2 linked regions of the Macaca fascicularis genome follow. The protein of the gene in region 1 interacts with the protein of each later gene in a pairwise test. Links are inferred from orthologs where the notes say so. Each region holds a gene or a part of one and is shown in the gene's direction. Other genes may lie near its edges. The genes, in order: PEX16 and PEX3.

Region 1 (8,171 bases):
GAGCACACACACAGTTGGGGGCTGGCCCAGGATTCGTCTTCAGTAAAGGGGCCGGGGGAGTCAGTGCAGGAAGCTGGGTCTGCAGATCTCACTGTGGTCACTCACAACGCTGGCCCTTCTTCTGGCTCAGCCTCACCACTCAGGGAAACTGAAGTGCTGAGATGCCTTCTAGGCCCCCAAGGGGTTGTTCTAGGGGCGTGGAGGGAGAAAGAGACAAGTATGGGCATATAAACGGTGCTGTTCCTCTTGGCCTAAGACCCATTTTGACCCAGCTCTGCCCAGGACTTTGCTGTATGACCTTAGACCAGTGAGGCTCCCTCTCTGGGCCTCTGGTACTCTCATCTGTACATGTTGGACTGGTCTACCTCTCTTCCCCTGTGACTTGGGGCAAATTGAAGGAGATATGATACAGCTCAACCTGCCCCAAAATCCTTCCAGCCCAACAAGACGGCCAAGTCCAGGCAGGGGGCCAGGGAGCAGGGGAGGGCCACCCTAGGAGCCTCCTGCACACACGGCAACTCTTTGTCTCTGGGGCCTAATCAGGCCTGGGATCTAGAGAGGAAATTCAGGCAGACCTGCTGCTGCCAACCTGGCTGGGCCCATGCTCCCCCTCCCAGTTCTGGAGGGAGGGAGGAGACACTGGTTCCAGCCCAAGCCCCTACCTATTCTGTCCTGGGGAGTCGGCCCCTCTCCCCTCCACACCTTGCTCTCCTCAGAAACAGGACCTCCAGCCCAAGGAGTGCTGAAGAACCTCAAATTCTCCCTCCACACCCTCTCCACAGCTGCAGAGGGAGGGCCGGAAGAGTGGCCAACCTGGAGGTTTGAGGAACAAGTTCATTAAGATGTTGGAGCATGGTGGCTCATACCTAGCACTTTGGGAGGCTGAGGCAGGCAGATCACCTGAGGTCAGAAGTTCGAGACCAGCCTGGCCAACATGGTGAAACTTCATCTCTACTAAAAATACAAAAATTAGTTGGGCGTGGTGGCGGGCGCCTGTAGGCCCAGCTAATTGGGAGGCTGAGGCAGGAGAATCGCTTGAACCTGGGAGGCAGAGGTTGCAGTGAGCTGAGATTGCACCATTGCACTCCAGCTGGGCGACAGAGTGAGACTCCGTCTCAAAAACAACCAAACAAACAAAAAACAAGGTGGGGCAGAGGAAAGGAGAAGGAGCGTCACCTTGAGGGCCCCAAGCCTAGGTCCTAATCCCAGTTGCTAACTGGCCTCATGACCAAGGAGCCTCAACATGTCACAGTTCTTGTGGGCTGTGGGCAGTAGGAGAGAGGTCACTGCCACTGGAGACCTGCGTTGTGGCCCGTTTGGCCAGTGCCTTGCTGTGCCATGTGGGACAAATCCTTTCCCCTCCTTATTGGCCTCTAATTTCCCATCTGTGAACAGTTCATGGCAACTTGGGGTTGCTGGGAGGAGGGTAAGCAAGCCTGGCACAGAGGGTGGCCAGAAATGATGTCGACAATGCCCATGACCACCTCCTCCCTGGTCACCTTTCCCTGCGTCGTCGTTCTTTGATGTGAGTAGAGGGCAGCTCTAATCCCCCACCTGATAGAGAAGAAAACTAAGCTATGGAGTAGGGTGGGGTGAGGCAGTGGAAGGAAGGCTGTGGTTTCCTGGTGAGGTGTAATGCTTAGACCTGGTCTCTAAAAAGAAAATTAAAGTTAAAAAAAAAAAAAAAAATGAATAAAAAGAAACCGCCTAGTCTCTGAGGTCAGAAAAGACCAGCACTCAAATTTTGGCTGGGCGTTCTTAAACGGATGCTTTCTTCATCTGGTGATATCTGGTGGAGAGGATTAGATAAAATAATGCATTACTGCCGGGCGCGGTGGCTCAAGCCTATAATCCCAGCACTTTGGGAGGCCGAGACGGGCGGATCACGAGGTCAGCAGATCGAGACCATCCTGCTCAAGCCTGTAATCCCAGCACTTTGGGAGGCCGAGATGGGCGGATCACGAGGTCAGGAGATCGAGACCATCCTGGCTAACACGGTGAAACCCCGTCTCTACTAAGAAATACAAAAAATAGCCGGGCGAGGTGGCAGCGCCTGTAGTCCCAGCTACTCGGGAGGCTGAGGCCGGAGAATGGCGTGAACCCGGGAGGCGGAGCTTGCAGTGAGCTGAGATCCGGCCACTGCACTCCAGCCTGGGCTACAGAGCGAGACTCCGTCTCCAAAAAAACAAACAAACAAACAAACAAACAAACAAACAAAACAAAACTAGCCGGGCGAGGTGGCGGGCCCCTGTAGTCCAGCTACACGGGAGGCTGAGGCAGGAGAATGGCGTAAACCCGGGAGGCGGAGCTTGCAGTGAGCTGAGATCTGGCCACTGCACTCCAGCCTGGGCGACAGAGCGAGACTCCGTCTCAAAAAAAACAAAACAAAACAAACAAACAAAAAGCATTACTATTACTATTCTCAGGGTACCATAAATCCGCTGGCCCACTGCTTCACCCTTGCCACGCCCCTTTCCCCGCAGCCAATCAGCGGCTGCCCCCCCAGAGCGCCGGTCCCCTCCACCACTCGCCGCAGCTCTCCCGATGCCACCCGTTCCAGGGAGGCTGCTTGGTTTGGGAAGGTATTCCGCAGGAGTCGCCCCCTCCCTTGGGGCGCAGCTGAGGACTGCGAGGTGCGTCCGAGGGCCGAAAAGCTGAGATCGATTCTGAGTTCAAGGATCAAGTCTGCCCTCAAACCATTTTACAGATCGGGAAATCCGAGACCCAGAGAAGGGACACTCCCGCCCAAGGGCCCCCTAGCCGAGAGAAGCCCGGGCCAGGGCTTTCTTCGCGTATGTGGGAATGCAGGCGCGCGCCCGTGGGGGGCACAGTGCATACGGGAGCTGGGGCCGAAACCCAGCACTAACTGTGCTGTCTAGGGGATCCAGACGGCACTAGGGGGCTGGACTCCTTACTGCCTGAGTTTCCCCAGCACTACCTTTGTTGAGGAAACGGAGATGGGGATACTGGCCGAACGCGCGCCTTCTGAGACACAGTCCGACTGCATTTAGACGCCCGCATCTCTCCGAATCTGATCGAGGCTCCTTTTTTCAAGAACCCGCTATCTCCCAGCCCTTTAAAGTCCGGCCCTGCCGTTCGAGTCTCTCGGCGTTCCATTGGAAAGACTCGGCGCTCCAGCTCCCTTCTCTAGAATGAACTGCTCTGACTGCCGCCCAGCTGTCCCGGAGTGTTAACTGCGCAGGCGCAAAGGCAGCCAACCCAGTAAACGGAAGAGCTGGGTGCCGATCACACTGGGCGGGTCAGGGGCGGTGAGCGTGCTAACCAATGACTTGAGGGAGTAGGGGGCCGGGTTTGGGCCCTCAGTTGCTAAGCGCTACCCGAATGGGAAGTGGTTCAAGAGATGGGGTGAAGGGTGGTTCACCGGCTCTTCAAGTCACCAGCCTTCTGGCCCGCGGAAGTTAAGCAACCCAGAGGTGGGCCTAAGACCGGAAGCAGGAAGGAGGGCGCAGGAAGCAGGGCGCCGCAGCCTGGCGTACAGTCCTTCCGTGGATCTGTTGGTGCCGAGGGCAGGATGGAGAAGCTGCGGCTCCTGGGCCTCCGCTACCAGGAGTACGTGACTCGTCACCCGGCCGCCACGGCCCAGCTGGAGACGGCAGTGCGGGGCCTCAGTTACCTGCTGGCAGGTGCCACCTTGACCTTTGATCCGTTCCTTCTGGGCCCTGACCTATGACCCCAGTGGCCCCCTTCCCTGCGGAGTCAGGGTAGTGATCGCTGTGCTTGAGAAGACCCATCCAGGTTCCCAAAGGGCGTAGGGAGGGGACGTCCGGGACCTGAAGACTAAATGTAAGGCAGATGCTCACTCACACCTCCCTCTGTACCCTCTCCCCAGGTCGATTCGCCGATTCGCACGAGCTGTCAGAGCTGGGTGAGCCGGGCTCTGGGGGTGGGGGATGGGGGATCGGCTGCCTGGCCCCAGGTGAGTTCCCCAGAGCGGGTGAACACCCCAACCCGAGGTCCTGGACTGCCCGTTAGACTCCTTGTGCTATGACTGAATCGGAACAAGGTCTGTTGTTCACTGTCCTGGGCCTTCCATGTCCCTAAGTCAAGAGACAGCCTGGGGACCTTATCTGAGTATTCACTACTGGCCAGGAGCTGGGCTAAGTACCTTTCTTACCTTTACTTGTTAATCCTCCCTACAGTCATATTAAGTGGAACTGTTATTGTCCTCACTGTCCATTTAAGGAAGAAGTTCAGTGAGGTTAGAGAACACTTACTGATGGTCCCAGAACAAAGATTCGAGTCTAGATCTCCCAGATTCCAGGATTCGCAGATGGTAACTACCTCAAGAGTGTTTGTCCAGTGACTGCTGTCACAGTCCTGAAAGAATGAAGTGGGTTTTGAAAAGCAGAGGTGAGGCCAGGTGCAGTGGCTCACGCCTGTAATCCCAGCCACTTTGGGAGGCAGAGGCGGGTGGATCGCCTGAGGTCAGGAGTTTGAGACCAGCCTGGCCAACATGGTGAAACACCGTCTCTACTAAAAATACAAAAATTAGCTGGGCATGGTGGCAGGTGCCTGTAGTCCCAGCTACTTGAGAGGCTGAGGCAGGAGAATTGCTTGAACCCAGGAGGCAGAGGTTGCAGTGAGCCGAGATTGTGCCGTTGCACTCCAGCCTGGGCAACAAGAGCAAAACTCTGACTCAAAAAAAAAGAAAGAAAGAAAAAGGAAAAGTGGGCCGGGCGCGGTGGCTCAAGCCTGTAATCCCAGCACTTTGGGAGGCCGAGACGGGTGGATCACGAGGTCAGGAGATCGAGACCATCCTGGCTAACACTGAAACCCCGTCTCCACTAAAAAATACAAAAAACTAGCCAGGCGAGGTGGCAGGCGCCTGTAGTCCCAGCTACTCGGGAGGCTGAGGCAGGAGAATGGCGTAAACCCGGGAGGTGGAGCTTGCAGTGAGCTGAGATCTGGCCACTGCACTCCAGCCTGGGCGACAGAGCGAGACTCCGTCTCAAAAAAAAAAAAAAAAAAAAAAGAAAAAGGAAAAGTGGAGGTGGAATAGACCCTCAGGGACAGGCTGCCGAGAGAAAAAAGGCCAGGAGGAAGGACCGCATATCTGTGGCAGTTCAGAGAGCAATGGGCAGTTGTGGGCAGCTGGATGACCAGTGCCATCCGACAGGGCAGTAGCTGGCTTGTCACTGAGATTGACCCATCCTTTCTTGGTCCAACCACCCTTGTGAGATCATGTTGGGGAGAGGGGAGTGCTGAGGAAGTGGGTGGAGAGGCAGGCTGGTTTCCACATAGTCTGTGGGTGTCTGAGCAGAGCAGGTGACATGTGATCCCTGCAGCTCTGGGCAGAAGGTGAGAGGGATGGAGGTTGCAGAGCCAGCCTCTCAAGGCCACACTCTACCCCTCAGTGTACTCCGCCTCTAACCTGCTTGTGCTGCTCAATGACGGGATCCTACGGAAGGAGCTTCGGAAAAAGTTGCCTGTGGTGAGAATTCTGCCAGGAACAGGGTGGGAAGCATGGGGACTCAGGAATGAAATAGTAGCAGCTAGCCCATGCATGCAGCACGTGTCTCATGGAGTATGAGACAGGCCTATGTCCATCTGAGCCTCAACCATCTCATTAGGTGAGCTGTAAAGTGTGAGTATTCCATCTTAGATGAAGAGACTGTCTCAGATGAAGAGAGGTAGAGTCAGCTGTTTCAGGTCCCCCAGCCTGTTAGTGGTGGAGTTGGTGTTTGAACTCACACCTGCACAGTTAGTCTTGGAAAGGGGCAAGTCCACATCTCTTGTCAGAGAAGCTCCCTCCTAGGAGAAGGGCCTGGGACAACAGGCAGCCCCCTGACTTCTTGGCCTGGGGTTCTTGCAGTCGCTGTCCCAGCAGAAGCTGCTGACATGGCTGAGCGTGCTGGAGTGCGTGGAGGTGTTCATGGAGATGGGAGCTGCCAAAGTGTGGGGCGAAGTGGGCCGCTGGCTTGTCATCGCCCTCATCCAACTGGCCAAGTAGGTTGGGATTGTGGAGGGGGTCCTGGGTCGGGGTGACGCAGGCCAACTACACAGATGGTGCTCAGCAGAGCATCCCTGACCTCCCGCCGGCTAGCCACCTCCCCACAGCCCTGACATACTCCCCGACCCAGGGCTGTACTGCGGATGCTCCTGCTGCTCTGGTTCAAGGCTGGCCTCCAGACCTCACCCCCCATCGTTCCACTGGACAGAGAGACCCAGGCACAGCCCCCGGGTGAGCTACTTCCCCAAGCCCTAGAGTGGAATGGGCTGTGGGACTAACTTGAGGATTTAGATCCAACCAGCATGAATACAGTAGTATCTGTTTTTGGAGCACACCTGACCCCACCACCTCTGTTCTCATTGCCCTGTATTCGATGAAGAAGACAGTGATGCGGCTAGGGACAAAATCAGAACACAAACCCAGTACTTGTCATGGCCAGAGTCATTCATTTTTGTGGCCTGCAGGAAGAGGGAACAGATGGGATGCTGCCAACCTTGCCTCTGGGCCTGGTTCTGTGTCCAGAGCCACAGCCTGTAGAGGCAGAAGGCAGGGAACCTGCCACATCTGTCCCTTCAGGGCTTTGAGCCCATCCTGTCAGCTTCTGGGCTTCACTCTCTGGACATTGAGTGGGGGCAGTTCATTGCCTCTCATCATGATTGTTTTGAAGGCAAAGGCTTGAGAGGAGACAGCCCCTCTGGTGCTGTGGTCCCCATAGATGTGGTCAGGCTGGGCCCTCCCTGCCTTGCTTGTCCATGGGTTCCAGGAGGCTGGTTCTGGCCACAGCTATGCTGAGCTTTCCCCAGGCCAGGGAGGGCTGCAGAGTGCTTTCCTCTGTGGACAGGTCTCGTGCTGAGCCACCACCCCAGTTGTAGTTCCCTTGACTCAGCTGTTGCCATAGTAGAAGCTCATCTGTTCTCCCCTTAGCCCCTGAGCATTCACTGCATGCATGTTCTTTGCAGGCTCCGCTGGAAGCATGTCCCTCTGACTGTATGGCCTTCTGTCTATCCCTGCTAGATGGTGACCACAGCCATGGCAGCCATGAGCAGTCCTACGTGGGGAAGCGGTCAAACCGGGTGGTGCGAACCCTCCAGAACAGTAAGTGGAGGATGTGGCTGGCCTGGGCACCTAGGTGCTGTGTCTGCCTGGGCCTGAGGGACTGGCTTTGGTCAGCAGCCACCTTCCCCTGCCCCAGCCCGGGCCTGGCTCGCTTATCTGCTGCCCTTGTGTTCTAGCGCCGTCCCTGCACTCCAGGCACTGGGGAGCTCCCCAGCAGCGGGAGGGATGGCAGCAGCAGCACCACGAGGAGCTGAGTGCGACCCCCACCCCCCTGGGGCTGCAGGAGACCATCGCAGAGTTTTTGTACATTGCCCGGCCGCTGCTGCACTGTATCCTTAGCGCGGGGCAGGATAGGGCTGGCACTGTGGGCTGGGGATTGAGTGGGGGGTGCGCCGAGCAAGGTCCCTGTGCTGGAGACATCCTTGACGCCTTGGCCGTCAGTGCTCAGCCTGGGGCTGTGGGGTCAGAGGTCGTGGAAACCCTGGCTCTTGGCTGGTGTTGTGGATGTGACCAGGTGAGCCTGGGCCCGCCCGGGGCTCCACTCTCCTGGGCTTTCTGCTACAATCCCGGCCTCACGTAGGCGGGGCAGTAGCAGCCCCTGCTCCTCCTGTTGCTGCCCTTCTGGACACCCAGCCCATGGCTCCTCCCCTTCCGTGGGCCTAGATCATGCCCCTGGCCCTGACCATGTCCTACCTGCCTCCCAGCCTGAGCCTCCTGAGTGACAGAAAGGGCCTGACCCGGAGGGAACGGCGGGAGCTGCGGCGCCGGACCATCCTGCTGCTGTACTACCTGCTCCGCTCTCCGTTCTACGACCGCTTCTCCGAGTGAGCACCCAGGCCACCCTCAGCCAGGGAGTGGGCCGGCATGCGGGCACTGGTGCTCCGGTCCCTGCTGGTGCCTTCCCTCCCCCATGCCTCATCCCGGCTTCACCGAGCACCCACTGTGTGTTGTCTGGGTAGCAGTCAACCGATGCCAGCCATTCCGCCCGCAGAGCTCTCCGGGCCATCAGGCCACTTGAGCAGGAACTTAAACATTGGTTGGCAGGAGAGGCACTGAGGGCAGGGCTGAGGGCACTGCCAGGTGGCCCACAGGGATGGCAACAGGGTGAGCGCCCATGGCCTCTAGCTCATTTCCACTTCTTCCT
Region 2 (8,067 bases), on another chromosome or scaffold:
CATATTGATAGTTTTTAAAAAGTCAAAGAGATTTACACTATATATACAGTTCAGCAGTCTGCCTTTTTCATTTAGAAATGTACTGTTAACCTTTCCCTACATTGGGTAATACTTTTTCATGACATGATTTTGTAAAGGTTGTACAGTATTTCTCCTTATGAACATATTTGATTCAACTAACTAGTTTCCTATTATTTGACATTTAAGTGATTCAAATTCTTCACTATTATAAATAAGAACATCTCCATATAAATATTTCTATGGCTTCTTTGTGAATTATTCCTAGAAACAGCTGTAAAATACAAAGAGCTCCTACAGTGCGATTTTTTAAATCAAACTATTAGTAAAATTGGGCAAAGTATATGCCTCAGCAATTCACAAAAGAAAAAATCTAAATGTCCAATTAAATTACACAGTAGATATACAGTATTCAGGGTAAGGAAACTGAAAAGGAAGAAAGAGAGCAGAGGATATGTTGGCAAGCAGTGAGCTACCTAACACTAAGAGGCAGGCTAGGCCAGTATTTGACAGCAGACGACAGGGCTCAAGTCACAGCCCCATCCTTACCAGCTCTCTAACTTTGGGAAAGTTACTGAACTTTCTCAGCTTCAATATCCCCATCTGAAAATGAGGACCATAATAATACTCACCTGATAGGGCTGCTGTGGGGCTTATGACATGGCCCACATGAAAACACTGTGCATAGCATAGTATCTGGAACACACCAAGAGTGCAACACTATTACTTAGTCATACTTTTTTTTTCCAAGCCTATCTTTAGAATGCTATGCTGAACATGCTATGATGATTAAAACAATAACCTATGATGATGCTATGCTTAGCTCTCAGAAAGAAACCTAACAAGTAGTAAAGTTGATAACTTTATATGCTATCCAACAAATCCTTTTGTAGTTATGGAAATATCCTTTGATCTGCACTGTCCAATATGGTAGCCAGTGGTCATATGTGGCTTCTGACTACTTGAAATGTGGCTAACACAACTGAGGAGCTGGATTTTATTTTATTTCACCTTAATTAATTTAAAGTTAAATAGCTACACATGGTTAGTGACTACGATATTGGGCATCATGGTTCTAGAAGGCAATACAGGAGTATCTATATAATTTCAAAGCACATACATCCTTTGTCCCATTTTTGATAGTCACTCCATAGCAACAGAAATACCATGAGGTAGGGAGGAGTGATTAATATATTAAGACTACCAAAAAAATGTGCTGAGAATCAAAAAGAGAACATGTAAATCCATTTATGCAAAAGTACATATGGCTGTTTACATATGGACAGAGAGATATGGAAGGATGCTCCCAAACACTAATAGTATTATCTCTAATGATAGGACTGTCAGGTAATTTTTACATAATTGGTTAACCCTTTTTTATAGTTTGAATTTTTTATGCCCATGAATTATTTACATAATCAGAAAAATAAAACATTAAAATATTTTCACTTTGGGAAAAAAAAAAGGGGGGGCATTAATGGATCAAAGGATAAGCTCACTTTTAAGGCCTTTTATATCTACCTAGCCAAATTGTCCTAATAAAAGGGTGTTCTAAATTCAGTTCCTCCCAACCAACAAACACCTCAAACATGCACATCCTTATTATCACCAAGCATTAAAATTGCTTTCACGTTTGCCAATTTAACAGGTGAAAAATTGTGTATCATTTTACTTTGAATTTCATTAATAGTGAAATTGTGTATTCATTCATTTGCTGGCTACTCGTCACTTCTTTTAGAAATATCATGTTCAGGTGAGGTGTGGTGACCCACACCTGTAATCCCAGCACTTTGGGAGGCTGAAGTGGGACGATTGCCTGGGGCCAGGAGTTCAAGACCAGCTTGGGCAACACAGAGAGACCCTGTCTAAACAAAAAAACACTTTTAAAAATAAAAGGAAATTTTAAAAAGAAATATATTCATATCCTTTGACCTTTTCAGTATTAGGGTATACATATTTCCTCTTACCTCAGAAAGTACTTAGATTTTATATAAATTCTATGTTACGGTTATTAAACCTGTCCTTTTATATATGTTGCAAATATTTTCCTTCTCTGCGATTTCCTTTACTTTGTATCTTTTTTTTCTTTTTTGAGACAGGGTCTGGTTCTGTCTCCCAGGTTGGAGTATAGTGGCACAGTCATGGCTCACTAGAGCCTCAATCTCCAAGGCTGAAGCAATCCTCCTGCCTCAGCCTCCTGAGTAGCTGGGACTGCAGGCACATGCCACCATGCCCTACTGATTTTTAAATTTTTGTTTAGTAGTGACAGGGTCTCGCTATGTTGCCCAGGCTGTTCTTCAACTTTTGAGATCAAGAGATCCTCTTGCTTCTGCCTTCCAAAGTGTTGGGATTATAGGCATAAGCCACTGCATCTGGCCATGATACTTTGTATCTTATCTTTTTAAACATGTGGATGTTTTCAAAGAATTTCTAGACCTCTCTGGCTTTGAAATTTTTGTCTCTCAATTGTATTATAAACACCTAGGGATGTGATTCCATAGTTTACCTCCTCCTACACAAGACTAAGGAGGCAGCTGCTTCTTGGGTTTTGGCATATACATGTTTCTTCAAGGTCTTAAAGGGAAAAAAGTACTTGTTAGGAGGGCTACATGTCACTAGGCAATAGGAACTTTTCAGCTCCGTTATAATCCTATAGGACCACCGCTGTATATGTGGTCCTATAGATTATAACGGAGCTGAAAAGTGCTAGCGAGCTTCTTAACTGGGATAACAGTTTGTTTGTAAACGTATGTAAATGTATTTACTTGTGCTAGCCCAAGGTCAACCTAAAAGGTGGCAAAAAGGTTTAGCCCAGAAGTCTACATAGAGACTAGTGTTGTCTACCTCCATACCACCCTGAACGTCCCCCAATCTCGGACGCTGAGCAGGGTCAGGTCTGGTTAGTACTTGGATGGGACAATAGGGCTAAGGTGAGTAGATTTAATGCTCCAGGATAACGACCTTTACAGACAGGTCATTATGTGGCACGTGGCTGTATGTACAGTTATTAAAATGTAAATATACATGTTTGCAAACAAACTATTTTCCCAGTTAAGAAGCTCGCTAGCACACACCATTCTGTTGAAAGGCCCCTTTACTCCGCAGACCTGAAGGGAGTGAGGGAAGGACGTAAAAGGGCAGAGGAAAGAATGAATGAATGCGAGACACCGATTCTACAGGGATTTGTTTCCATACTGCTCTCTACCAGAAACGTTCTCAGTTTCCTTCCTTCTGCTGGACATGGTCCAGGGGCCAAAACCTCAAATAATGTGATTTTGTAGATTGGAGAGTGTGACCACAGAAAGGAAAGGGAGGCAGCACGTGCCAGCCAGCGACAGAATGCTAAGTCTGCAGCATACTCCACCCCAATGAAACAAATAATTTCTGTATTTCCTCCCTTTCCTTCGCCCATAGTCACTGTGAGAATGGGCTACAGAAAGTTTCGAGGCAGTAAAGCCAGTAGTTCACCCAGAACATCTGACTGCCATAAAAATTATGGTGACGAGAAAGAACGTTTGCTCAAATGCCGTGGTTGGGGTGAGGGCTGGAGAAAGGTCCCACCCCGCAGCATTCACCTCCCGGGCTCCTCACCATGTGCATTGCCTCCTCCATCCACTTTTCGGTCTCTTCTGCCGACACCGAGCACGCGCCGCCTGCAGCTGACTTGGGCGCCGCCTTCGCCTCCATACCCGGCCACCACTCAGCGCCAAAGGCCGCCGCGGAGGAGGAGCGCGGGCAGCGGAACGCGGCGGGCCCGGGCCCCCGTTTCCGGGGGAGTCGAATGGAAAGGCACTCGGGAGCGATTTCTGAACGGACCTGGGCGTGTCGGACCAGTGAGCAGCGGCGGCTGCGCCGCGGCAGCCGCAGAAAGCGCAGCTGCTTTGCTCTAGTCCACGCCCCCTTGCCGCTCCGGTGACAGTCTGCGGAAAGCCGCGTTTGTGATTTCGGGAGAGCGCAGAGCGGGACGGCGGCGCTCTTGCTTGGTCATCTGGGCCAGGTGACGAAGAAACAGTTTCCCGGTGAAGCAGCCCCTCACTCATAGTCAGCGCACACCCCTAGGGCCTAAAGATGCTGAGGTCCGTATGGAATTTTCTGAAACGCCACAAAAAGAAATGCATCTTCCTGGGCACGGTCCTTGGAGGTGGGTGACAACGTTCTTGAAAGGGGGCATTGGGAGAAGGGAGTGGGAGAGGTGACTTTTTCTAAAATAAGAACAGGCCGGGGCGAACCTAGTCTGGGATCTGTAGAGGGGATTCGATCAACCATGGGATGGAAAGGGAGGTGGCCAACCTCAAGGGTTCTCCCATCTCTGCAGTTGAGAAATGCCTCTGTGCCCTTTGCCCTGTCACCGCCTCTTAACTGTTTCTCACCTATCCTTTTTTCTCACGGACCTTTGGAGAATTCAGTACAGTTTAAGTTTCTGTTACAGGAACTTTTTAAAAAAAATTCTGCTTTCCTGTGAGATTCTTCATTTTTCCTTGGCACTCTTGGCACTATGGCTCTCACCCTTCTCAGGAGTTTAATAATAATCTAGGGGAGGTGGTTTAATAATAAATGATAAATAAATAAATAATAATAAACTCTCAGGAGTTTAATAATAATCTAGGGGAGGGAGTTTAATAATAATCTAGGTGGTGGTTAAAGTCGATTTGAATTTTTGAAAACAGCGCAGTTGTCCTGAAGGACTGAAAGAGATGGATTAGATAAAGAAAAACAAATCAATATTTTAGCTCTGTTTCTGCCATTTTAGAATACAAACTGTGGCAGTAAGAAAAATGCTTGAGGGATGTTGCGCAGTCTTCCTCAGGATCTTCAAGGTTGGGATCGTTGTAATCTAACTGACATAGCTGAGTTGCACGGGCCCAGAGGAGATTTAGAAACAGATAAGATAAAAATCTTGAGACCCTTTTCCCTCATACAATGCTCATGTGATAATATTCAGGGATTTGAAGGAGGGAATAAAAAGCTTTGTGAATTATATGAAAAGAACATCTAGGAACTTTAAAAGAGGAAATTTGTTGTAACTTGAGTTTTTGAGAAATATTCTTATCACTTATTATGTGCTGTGTTTACAGAAGTACTTAAAATAAAGAACAGAGGTTCCCAAAGAATTTGGTTGGCTTTTCTCTTAGTATTAGATTGTATTCTGTTCTCCCCAAACAATTTGAAATTAACAATACATATTAGATTGTATTCTGTTCTCCCCAAACAATTTGAAATTAACAATACTTATTAGATTGTATTCTGTTCTCCCCAAACAATTTGCAATTAACAATACTCTTAGCATCAATAGTTCAGATTTTGGTGATGCTTCAAAGTTTGAAACAGAGTTCTTGTTGCTGAGCCAAGGATGGTGTTTGCATGCCTCTGACATCTATCACAGATCAATAATAAGCGTGTAAATTTTGAACATCTTTGAGAAATCCTTTATATATAAAAGGTATTTTCTGATATCTTCATTCTCTAGTATCTAATGTATATTTAAATTATCCTAAGACTACTGAGTCCATTTTATTTATAAAAGCTAAAAATAGATGTGTGATTGAAGCAATACAAATAAAGTATTTTTGCCTTTACCGAAGGAAGGAAAATTATCTCTAACAATCTCAGAAGGAATACTCCTTCAGCTTATGGAACAACCTTGTGGTAAATTAGAAATAATCACAGGGGAAGCAAAAGAGTAGACTTAAAAGAAATTTATAATTAAAAAAAAAAATCTAACAAGAGCCTTATAGTTACAGAATAAGAGGAATGCAAAAAAAGAAAAGTTCAGACGGATAGAAAGAGAAAATAATCCTAGTGTTTTATATCAATAAAGGAGTCAGTCTGAAAAGAAAGGAAGAGTAGATGACCATGGTTGGCATTTGTTTGAGCCTCGTATTCTTTCTGCTTCAGGGAGAAAGTTCTACAGTATGTTAGATTTTAATTAATCTGACTTAAGAAATATTTATCAAGTACCTGTAGTGCTGAAAGTAATATGTATGGAAATACAAGATTTATAGATTTTTAATAGTAACAGCTACTATTTATTGGGAGCCCACTTTACACTGGGCATTGTGCTAAGCTCTTCCTATTTAGGCAGAATGACAAGAAGGCAGTTATTATTATCCCCATTCAAAAATGTGGCAACAAGAGCCCTAAGAATTTAAGAAACTTGCCTCAGGTCTCAGAATTAGTGAAGGGAAACTGGAATTCAAACCCAGGTGTGTTGGACCCCAAAGCACATTCTCTTTCCACATTATATCACTGTGCTTCCATGGTCTTTATGGTCTGATAGGAAGGAAAAGCAAGTATACATGTAATTAAGATACAGAAAAACAAGAGAGGTGAAAAAATGCTGTACAGATCACACTGGCAAGTAGCATATACAGTTGTGAAAAATCAGGAAGAATTTCATGGAAAAAGAGACACATTTTGACAGGCTCGAAAGCTGGACAGTATATCAACAGGATGCTTGGAGAAGTTTGGTCATTCAATCGTGGGGGAAATAAGTAAGTAAAACCTTCAGTAGCAGGCCTTCTTAAGTAACAATTTCTGTTTCCTTGAATTTTAGATGGGTAACTAATTGGTTTACACCAGTTTGTATAATTTGACCAGTTTTGGGTGTTTGGGTGTGTTCGGTTTTTGTTTTTGTTTTTTTTTTTTTTTTTTCAGACAGGGTCTTGCTCTTTACCCAAGCTAAAATACAGTGGTGTGATCATAGCTCACTACAGCCTTGATTTCTCCTTTGCTAGCTTTACAATGTAAGGCAAGTAGAAAGCTTCCTTATGAAGATTTGCCTGACACCTTCACACTTTCCTCACTCATGTGATCCTCTCACCTCAGCCTCCCAAGTAGCTAGGACTACAGGTGTGCACCATCAGGCTTGGCTAATTTTTAATTACTTTGTAGAGATGGGGGTCTCACTACATTGCTCAGACTGGTCTTGAACTCCAGGCTTCAAGCAGTCGTCCTGCCTCAGCCTCCTAAAGCGCTGGAATTACAGGCCTGAGCCACTGAGCCTGGCATAATTTGACCAGTTTGTGAAAAGGCTAGAGAATTGACTCCCAAACTTTTTGGTCTAAGGTCTCCTTTATACTCTGGAAAATTAAGGACCCTCAAAAGCTTTCTAAATTTTATATCTATTAATAGTTATGATATTCAAAATGAAAATGAAAATTTAAATATTAATTCATTTTTTAAAAACCTATTACATATTAACATAAATAACATTTTCAAAAAATTAATGAGTGTCATTGTTTTACATTTTGAAAATCTTTTTAATGTTTGACTTAATTGAAGAAAGCTAGATTCTCATCTCTTTCTATATTCTGTCAGTTGTGATATCACACAGCATGTAACCTCTGAATTACTCCACTGTATACTCATGAGAGAGTATGAGTATGAGAGAGAACGAGAATGAAAAAGGCAAATAACATTTTAGTATTATTACAAAAACAGTTTTGATTTTATAGACCCCCTGAAATGGTCTTAAAGACCCCAGGGGTGCCCTTGCCACACTTTGAGAACCATTGCACTGGAAAAAGTATTGGAAAACAGAGAGCAACCAGATTCATATTTATTGACTTGCTGGTTTCTAAAAAACTCAGAATATTGACTTGGATTTATACCTTAAATCCTGTAATCTCTGGCCTCTTCACATTTTTTATTCGTTTATTCATTCATTCATTCTGTCATTGAACAAACATTTGAATGAGAGTAAGTGCCTGTTCTCACTGTACTTTACTCTGGAAATACAAAGGAATAAGACTGATCCTGACTTGGAACTCATGGCACAGAAATGGAAATAAACAAAAGTAGTATGATAGTATAGTATGAAAATAGAGCAGGGTCTTGTGGGAGCATAGAGGAGAAGAAAGTGTGAAGATGTCAGGCAAAGCTTCATAAGGAAGAATTTCTACTTAAGTTTTAAAACTAGCAAAGGAGAAAGGACACAGCAAGAAAAAGAGCTATTCAAGAGGTTCAGCAACATTGCTTTTATGGATGAAACTATATTTCACTATGGCTGTGCAAATGAGAAGTGGCAAAAGATTAACTTGGAAAAGCAAC

The links.
Region 2: the proteins of PEX16 (region 1) and PEX3 interact in binary tests that used the Homo sapiens proteins (3 or more experiments, as listed by UniProt). The link is inferred for Macaca fascicularis from reciprocal best matches to the Homo sapiens genes PEX16 and PEX3.

What each region holds. Positions count from the first base shown.
Region 1 is NC_088388.1:19,942,397-19,950,567, forward strand, and holds the start of PEX16 (peroxisomal biogenesis factor 16), read left to right. Parts: upstream 1-3,221; 5' UTR 3,222-3,532; coding exon 3,533-3,644; intron 3,645-3,850; coding exon 3,851-3,937; intron 3,938-4,203; exon of another isoform or gene 4,204-4,294; intron 4,295-5,375; coding exon 5,376-5,452; intron 5,453-5,833; coding exon 5,834-5,967; intron 5,968-6,101; coding exon 6,102-6,202; intron 6,203-6,985; coding exon 6,986-7,066; intron 7,067-7,203; coding exon 7,204-7,356; intron 7,357-7,468; coding exon 7,469-7,541; intron 7,542-7,731; coding exon 7,732-7,851; exon of another isoform or gene 7,852-8,131; intron 8,132-8,171. UniProt on the Homo sapiens protein: Required for peroxisome membrane biogenesis. May play a role in early stages of peroxisome assembly. Can recruit other peroxisomal proteins, such as PEX3 and PMP34, to de novo peroxisomes derived from the endoplasmic reticulum (ER).
Region 2 is NC_088378.1:47,652,933-47,660,999, forward strand, and holds the start of PEX3 (peroxisomal biogenesis factor 3), read left to right. Parts: upstream 1-3,850; 5' UTR 3,851-4,086; coding exon 4,087-4,159; intron 4,160-8,067. Other genes in the region: ADAT2 (tRNA-specific adenosine deaminase 2), read right to left, coding at 3,610-3,705. UniProt on the Homo sapiens protein: Involved in peroxisome biosynthesis and integrity. Assembles membrane vesicles before the matrix proteins are translocated. As a docking factor for PEX19, is necessary for the import of peroxisomal membrane proteins in the peroxisomes.